2 linked regions of the Coturnix japonica genome follow. The protein of the gene in region 1 interacts with the protein of each later gene in a biochemical or structural test. Links are inferred from orthologs where the notes say so. Each region holds a gene or a part of one and is shown on either strand. Other genes may lie near its edges. The genes, in order: METTL22 and KIN.

What was found.
Region 2: of the proteins of METTL22 (region 1) and KIN, one has a biochemical effect on the other in vitro, tested with the Homo sapiens proteins (2 studies listed by BioGRID). The link is inferred for Coturnix japonica from reciprocal best matches to the Homo sapiens genes METTL22 and KIN.

What each region holds. Positions count from the first base shown.
Region 1 is NC_029529.1:9,455,075-9,459,528, reverse strand, and holds the start of METTL22 (methyltransferase-like protein 22), read left to right. Parts: upstream 1-1,445; 5' UTR 1,446-2,157; intron 2,158-2,729; 5' UTR 2,730-2,908; coding exon 2,909-3,038; intron 3,039-3,488; coding exon 3,489-3,839; intron 3,840-4,210; coding exon 4,211-4,251; intron 4,252-4,335; coding exon 4,336-4,454. Other genes in the region: TMEM114 (transmembrane protein 114), read right to left, coding at 147-330. UniProt on the Homo sapiens protein: Protein N-lysine methyltransferase. Trimethylates KIN at Lys-135 (in vitro).
Region 2 is NC_029516.1:3,681,057-3,684,872, forward strand, and holds part of KIN (DNA/RNA-binding protein KIN17), read right to left. Parts: intron 3,091-3,816; coding exon 2,967-3,090; intron 2,441-2,966; coding exon 2,390-2,440; intron 2,255-2,389; coding exon 2,186-2,254; intron 1,174-2,185; coding exon 1,074-1,173; intron 1-1,073. UniProt on the Homo sapiens protein: Involved in DNA replication and the cellular response to DNA damage. May participate in DNA replication factories and create a bridge between DNA replication and repair mediated by high molecular weight complexes.

The sequences.
Region 1 (4,454 bases):
CCAGTAGCAGGAGTCAGGCGTTGGGCATCCTCCGTGGATGGAGGGAGAGCCGGGTGGGGCGGGCAGCCCCCGGCTACGGACAGCAGAGAGGACAGCAACAGCACGGTAAGGGACCCACTCCCACCGCCCCCCACCGCCCCACTCACGCCGGCAGGTCCGCCAGAGCCCCGAGTGCGAGCTGAGCGCGGCAGTGCCATTGGCGGCCGTCTCCAGGCGGGAGGCATCGATGATGTACCAGAAGTCCGTCGCGATGGCCACCACGAGGAAAACGAAGCTGGAGGCTCCCACCAGAGCCACAAGCAGCGACAAGACACTCAGGCTCACCCTCATGCTGGACCGCGGTAGGAGATGCACACTGATGGGAAGGGTGGTGCGGGATGAAGCGATGCCCGCAGGCAGCAGCGCAGCTCCCGGGCGGTTCGCATGGGCGCTCCATAGGGAGTCTCATTCTGTTTGCTTGCTCAGATCTCATCCCAGGCTCCCCAGGGGAACGCTAAGTAACGCCCAGTCATTACACAGTCATTGTCTGCTCTCTTCTGGAGAAGAAAAATTCTATAATCAGAGTGTGAATGTTTCCGATAAACAAGCACAAAATAGTTAATGAAAAAGCAGTCAGTGTGGGTTCAGCTCTGCAATGCTGTCGGTGCCTTTAATTCGGTTTTCTTGCTGGTGAGACAAGCTTCCCCTGGGAAAAAAGTGGATATTCAGTAAGTATAGAGACACAGAAGCCAACAGCTGCACTTGCCCTTTTAACTTATAGTTCATTTACTCCTCTCGTGAACTTTTCAACCTCAGTGATTCAGGAATTTTCAACCTGTTGGCCAGGTGTCGTGTGCTTGGATAGCAAAACAAAGTTCTCCACTGATGGTTCATCTACATCAACAGCCTTTTTATTCATCCCAAGTTCAAAGCACTTTGCATAGCAGCGGATGCTAATCATAGTTTCCATTATTGCAGAAATACACGGTGCATTCAGAGCACTGCAATCAGATGAACCTCAGCTTATTGCTCTCACTTTTCATTCTGATTTAATGTGTCTGTAATAAAAAGAGCAGAATAACCTGAGCATCCAAGGGCACTGCGCTTAGGGCATTAGGCTCGAAACAATTAGTTCTAATTTAGTTCCCTGCTGTATGCAAAGAATACTAAGTCGTTTTGGTAAAGCAATTTAAACAGAGGCACTTGGTGCTGCCTGGACATGTGATTCCTAAAGGCTGTAACACTTTTGAGTGGAAGGGTAACCACTATCAGCCAGATCACAAATGGATTGGGAGGATAAATGGATGCCCCATCCTTGGAGGTGTTCAAGACCAGGTTGGACGGGGCCCTGGGCAACCTGATCTAGTAAATGTGTATGTTTGGTGGCCCTGCTAAGCAGGGGGGTTGGAACTACATGATCCTTGAGGTCCCTTCCAACCCAGGTCATTCTGTGATAAATATCTGTCAGTGTTGTAAGATATTAATTCAGTATGGCAATGTATGGCGATAGATATCAAAGTATTAAAAGAATGCATACATGTGTGCCCATAGCAGCACCTGCTCTGCGCTCAACAAGAGCAACAATCTGCCTGCACACACATAAAATATGTGAAAAACAAGATATTAAGCTGCTTTTTATTGTTACACTTAGTTCCTTGATGATCTCCTGTGGCCTTTCTGATAGCTGCTCTTTTAATCTGAAACCAAGAAATATCTTTTTTCCTTTGTCTATATCATTATAATGTGACCCAGAGCCATTGTTTTAAACCCCCGTTTTTATTACTGTTACAAAATAGATTGCTGTAGTGAGATTTTGGGCATAGGGAAAGGGTCAGTAAACACATTAGAGCAGCCACCGCAGGCTCTTCAGCTTCCATGCTACCTGTTCCAAAGCATCGGATCAGAACGTACTTTGAATTGAATATAATCAGCAACCAGAGTTTGGAGTATCTTTCAACAAAATGCAGTTATTTTAAGGTCTGATTGCAAAGCCAAGACTGTGAATGGGGAAATTAATCCTAAAGCTTATGAGTGTGCACTGAGGCGGCCCTTGAGGCCGGGGCCGCTCTGAGGGACGGATGGGCGGGACGGGCGCGTCAGCCGCGCGCCGGAAGGGGCTGCGGGCTCCAAGATGGCGGCTGTGTGTGTGTGAGGGGCCGCTCCGAGCTGTGCCTCTGGGTCAGTGCGTGTGAGGCGTAGCGTTGTCCTCACGGCTGCGGTGCCCTCGTGTTTAAAACGCGTTTCTCAGGATGTTCGGGGGAATAAATGTGGCTTTTTTGTGTGTGTGTGTGTGTCTGTAGAGGAAATTTTTGTCTGCGCCTTGGAGCCGCGGGCACGGGGCAGCGAGGAGGGTTGTTTGTTTTTGGGGAGAAAAATAGAGAACTCCTGGTGGGTGTGTGAGAGGAGCCAATTTATCTTCGGGAGGAGCCAGTATTAGTACAAAATATATGGAACTAAGCTGCATTCATGGCGTTGGTTTCTGAGGGAGCCTGTGCCCAGGCTGTGCTCTGCCCTCACCCACTGCAGGGCTGTGTCTGGGTGTTCTCTGCTTTGTCACGGGATGGTTGGTTGCTTTTAACACAAATTAATGAGCAGTGTGCCTTCCTGGAGCATGTAGTGTCCGGGTTGAACTGTAACTGTAGGAGCATTGTAAAAGGGAGCTCTGAAGCACTGTAGCTTTGTTGGTGTAACCTGGTTCCTCACCACAGGGTAGTGTTAGCGAGCTGAAAGCTGTCTGTGTTTGCTTGTAGGTTGGAGACCCCTACACACAACCTGGTATCTCATCAGGGCACGGTGGAGCTTATGTGACTGAGGCCTCAGATTCTGCACCCTGAGGTCGTGCTGAGCAGTCTCCATGGCGGCTGTGCTTCACAGCGGGCTGCCTGGTGATGGCAGCTGCCCCCATAGGTGTCCCTCTCACTGACGTACCATGGGAGACATCACGGAGAAGGAAATGGATAGTGGCACGTTCAAAAGCGACGCCGTCCTTTCTGATGTGCACTTGCACTGTCCCAACAAAAGTCATCTCATGGTACGACTGAATGCAGTTGGACAGCCAGGTAATGCATGTTTAGACTGATGGAGCTGTGTTTTAATTGCACTCTAATGTATTTGTATCGTCTTAACCCTCCTTTGAGGTCTGGGAAGGGGTGGATCTAATTATGACCTCAATCAGGCCAAAATCAGGTAATTAATGCTGTGGTACATTGTCATACTGCTTAGCATTCACTTGCTGTGACTCGACACAACCTTTCAACACAATAATATAACGATGTGTTTTATATAATCTGAGTGTCCATAGTCTTAAAAAATAAACAAATTTCCCATACCAGGGCTGGATTGTAGTATGACAGCTTTTACTCTAAAAAATCCAGCAGTGGTCTGCCACCATACACTTCGGTATGTGAAATGCACATCAAATGTCATGCAAGTGATGTTTGCATATAGAGTCTGTTCTTCCCTAGCATTGATCTTTAGCTTTACCCTCCTCCCACTCCTTGTTCTTGCAGTGTTCCTGTCATGTTTCAAACTCCTTTGGAACACAGATGATCAGGCCTCTGAGAAATACAGAGGAGAAACTACAACTGAAAGAGAACACCAGTACGGACGTGGAGATGAACTACCTAACGAGGACGGGATGAATCTGAAATGTGAAAAAGAATTGAATACTGAAGGAATAGAAGCTCTGCTGGATGAGGATGGAGACTTGGAAGTGGTCAGGAGGCCTCAAAGTGCCAGTGACTCAGAGGCAGAGGATCTTATGAGGGATAGAGTATATCCTGTAATTCTGATGAAAGGAAAAGCAAATGCTTTTGAAGATGAAGAACAAGAATGTACTTACAGCAGTGTTATTAAAATAGGTAAATAGTAGGCTTACGTTCAAGGAGAAATTGAATAAATAGGTGCTCAAGTAAAACAAAAGAAAACTGAGTTGGTCTTTTAATTGAAAGAGAACTTGGTAAGTCAAAGTAGATAGTAAACCATAATAATACTGTGATATTGTTAAGTGCTTTAAAAGCAGTTTTTCTTCAAAAGTGGACATTTGGATATTGTGGAGAAATGGTTTTCCTTAATTAGAATTGGGTTTTCACCATTATCCAGCATTACTGTGTAGAATTAATAGTGCTCAGTTCTAGATTTAAAAGGGAAGCATTAATTGGCTTTTCAAATTTACTATTATGGAACTTGATCTGAACCATGTTTGAAACAGTACTCTCTTCCATTTTCACAGAGCATACTATGGCAACCCCCTTAGAAGATGCTGGCAAACAAGTATGTATTGTGCCTTCTATTGTCTTGCTGCTTGTGTGTTGTGCTTTGGAATCTGTCTGGTTTAACTGCTACTCTTCTCCAAAGGTCTGGCGTGCAGCCTTTCTTCTTGCTGATTATATTCTGTTTAAACGGGACGTGTTCAGGAATTGCACAGTGCTTGAGCTTGGAGGCGGTACTGGAATTGCAAGCATCATCATGGGAAT
Region 2 (3,816 bases), on another chromosome or scaffold:
TCTAGGCCATGCTGGTGCTATAGCAGAAGCCACTCAAACTACAGCAGGGAAGGAATCACAGAATCATAGAATGGTTTGGGTTGGAAGGGTCCCTTAAGATCCAACCACCTGATATAGGCAGGGACATTTCCCTCCAGAAGAGGCTGCTCAAAGCCCCATCCAGCCTGGCCTTGAATACTTCCAGGGAGGAGGCATCCACAGCCTCACTGGGCAACCTGTTCCAGTGTCTAACCACCCTCACAGTAAAGAATTTCTTCCTAATATCTAGTCTAAATCTACCCTCTTCCAGTTTAAAGCCATTTCCCCTCATCCTGTCTCTACCTGCCATTCTAAAAGTTCCTCTCCAGCTTCCCTGTAGGGAACCGGTAGGGAACAGCTTCAGGTACCGGAAGGCCACTATAAAGCCCCCCTGGAGTATTCTCTTCTCCAGGTTGAAGAGACAAGTTCTCTCAGCCTGTCCAAACTTGTTGAGGGTGCACTCAATACCAATACTCAATACTGTTCACAAAGATGTTAAAAAGCATCAGACCCTGCACAGATATGAATACCACTCATCACCAGTCTCTCCTTGGACACTGAGCCATTGACTGCAACTCTCCGAGCAGCCATTCAGCCAATCCCTTATCCAGTGAGCAGCCCATCATCAAATCCATTTTTCTCCAATATGGCTACCAGGATGTCATGTGGGAAAGTGTCAAAGAAGTCAAAGTCACTTCCCTCATGTCCTATTCCATATCCTAATTGCTCAGTGTGCCTTCTTTCTTCCTCTTATCTCACATAAGCAGTTCCACAGGGCATCAGTTCTATTCTAAGTGTGGGCAAAGCTCAACTGTACCATTATTCCACCATCAAATGGCTATTCACCAGCTGAAGGTGCAGAATGTAGCATGTCTGATGAAAAATCACAAGATCCTACATCTTATTTCTCTCTATGCAGACAGTCCTCTGTTAATTGATACCCTGAATGTTCAGCTACTGTTAAGGTAGTTTCAAGTGGATGTTTTACAGTTTAAAAGAACTTAAATTATGCTGTGACAGCTATGCTGAAAAGTAAGGAACACAAACAGCCATACCTGGTGCTGGTATTACAGTTTCCAGGTGTGTCTGATCAAGCTTCAGTTTGTCTCCAGAATCAATCATTTTCACAACTGCTGTATATTTGTCGATCACCTCCTGTTGTGAAAAGAAGAGGCCAATCAGTGACTATAATAATATATAATAATTCTATAATAATTCTCTAAATTTACATTTTCAAAATTAACAAATTCAGGATCTTCAGTCTATGCTTGTACATTTTCAAAAGGAATGAGCTGCCCTAAAGGCATCCAGCTTCCACAAAGTGCTGGCTGACCCGACTCTGAAGTTAAGGCCAGATTAAAGGGGCTCCTCTTAAAAAAACCACAACCAATCTCCTTTGTAAATTAAGACCACTGATGTTATTAGTGCTGTCTGGAGGTTTTGTCAACCTTCAGATCAGTTATCTTAGCTACCTCTCAAATTCGGAGAGTAAATTAGAGGCCTCTTTTCCTCTTGGGAGGATAAACTGGCTTGAAGTCACACAGGGAGAATTGGAATAAGTCCTCTCAATGAGGAAAACTGTCACTGATCATCTTTACACCCAGCATGTCCAAACTCCCAGATTTACAGCTCAGTGGAAGACAGACACTGGGACTCATAACCTTCTCTTCTTGCCAAAAAAAAAGCTGTGATTTTGAGTTCCATACGCTGCTGTCAGCCATTCAAAACACACCTAGATGTTGTCTTCTGCACTCTTGCCAAAGACTGTTGAGCCTTGGAGTACCTACTACAACATCATTTCACTGGCAGCAGCTAAAAGAAACCACTTCTAAACATATAACAAGGCTTACAGAGTGAAGATTTTGTACACAAATGGGATCTTGCTCAAAGGGCAGTATGCAGAGTGAATATTTGTGCAACACTGATTAGTCTCAACTTAAAATACAACTACACCGCATCACGTTGAAAAAGTGATTATTCCCCATTATGGATATGTTAATAGGATAAGATGTACAGGACAAAAGCATACACACAAAGAACGTGCCAGTAAAGTTACATTATTGCTCTTATCAATGTAGACTTAAGGCTGAGCACAATTCTGACTCTGGAAATCATCTGGTACCATAAAATCCAACCAAAGCCACATGCTTCCATTTGCAAACTTTACCTTAACAACTGCCTTCTTCTTGTGATACTTCTCTCCAAGCTTCTTCGTGACAATTTTTACAATGATTTCCTAGACAATTTGAAAGGAGGGAAACAAAAATAAAGATTAACGTTCCAAAATACAGAAGCAGGATCTTTTACATAAGCAAGTGTAGACATGCAGAATTGGTTGTACCTGTAAGTGTTATTGTTTAAAGATACTTACTGGCTGTAACCAGTAGTCTGTTCGAGATGTTCTTTTCTTCTCTTCTTCAAGCTACAGAAGAGGAACAAATAAGCATCATTCGTTTTCTCCCTTCACTGCAGCCTTCCCATGCCTGCAAAAATCTGAACAAATTATCCAGATCCATACCAAGTAGGGAAAAAAAAACCAAGAAGGGTTGCTGAGTGTGTGTTCTCAGCATAGAAATCAATCTGATGAGATTGATAAAATCTCATAATATCTGAGATATCATGATATCTCAGATCTCATGATGTATGATTCATGATATATGAATCCACGATAAAATGATGGGAGATTCATGTTTATTTTTGTCAAGCGATTCTAGGTATTTTTTTCTCTTGCAAAATCTGTATTCCTTTACTTCCAACATCTGGATTGTCAAGGCAATAGGCACAGATGAGAAGCAGAAACCAATCTTAAATGGGAAGTGATATAATTTTGCCCGACATGACATTGAAGTCTGAATTCCACAAGAACTGAAGGTCTGAGATCATTTCAAAGTAGACTCACTGCTACAAGCATGGGGTTATAAAGACAAAGATCCTTGCATAACTGTTACCTCCATAATCTCATCCAGTGCAGATTTCTTCTTCTTCTCTTTGGATTGACCAGAGCTGTGAGCTGATTCTTTTCTTTTAACTGCTCCTTCCGCCATCTTCAGTGCGCTTGGTCCAAGGACACTGCTGGGAGAGTAAGATGGCAGTTTCAGAGCAGACCTCAAATTGTCTCCTCTACCAAGATGCATTTGAAGAACTGGTTGTACAAAAAGGCCTATTGATCTATTTGATTTCAGTTGTGCAAGTCACCTTCCAGACCTTACATCACTCCTTTTCTAAGACTGTGCTTGGCAGCTGGAACTGAAGTGAAAATTCCATGTTCTCCAGATGTCCAGCAGAACAAAAACAATCTAATGGTCAGTTCATCAGTTCAAAAGCCAAGAGGTGATTAAGGGACTTAAGTGGTAAAGACAAAAACAAGTCTGCAAGTAAGATCTCCACATTTGTTTTAAATATTTATTTCAAATATATGAAGCAAAATGGGCTATCTTGTAGCTTAGGACATAATTAAAGCCTACATTAAAAGAAGGAAAACCTGTGAGGTTACTATGGGATTCCCAGGTGTCAGTATTAAAATGCATCTTATTTAACATATGTATTAAGGACCCTGGGACAAAGAGAGACCATCAACACTGATCAGGTGTGCAATCAATAGAGGACACAAGAAAGAACTGGGTACAAGAAAGGACTGATTTACCTTGAAATCTTTGGTTTACAGAAGGCAAAACTAAACAGCATATTATGCAAGCTCCCATAGTTTAGAAAAGTTTACTCTGCTTAGATTCTATCCACAGGGATCACTGTTTATGATCAACAACAGCAAAGAAGGGTCTGACTATAATTATGGATGAC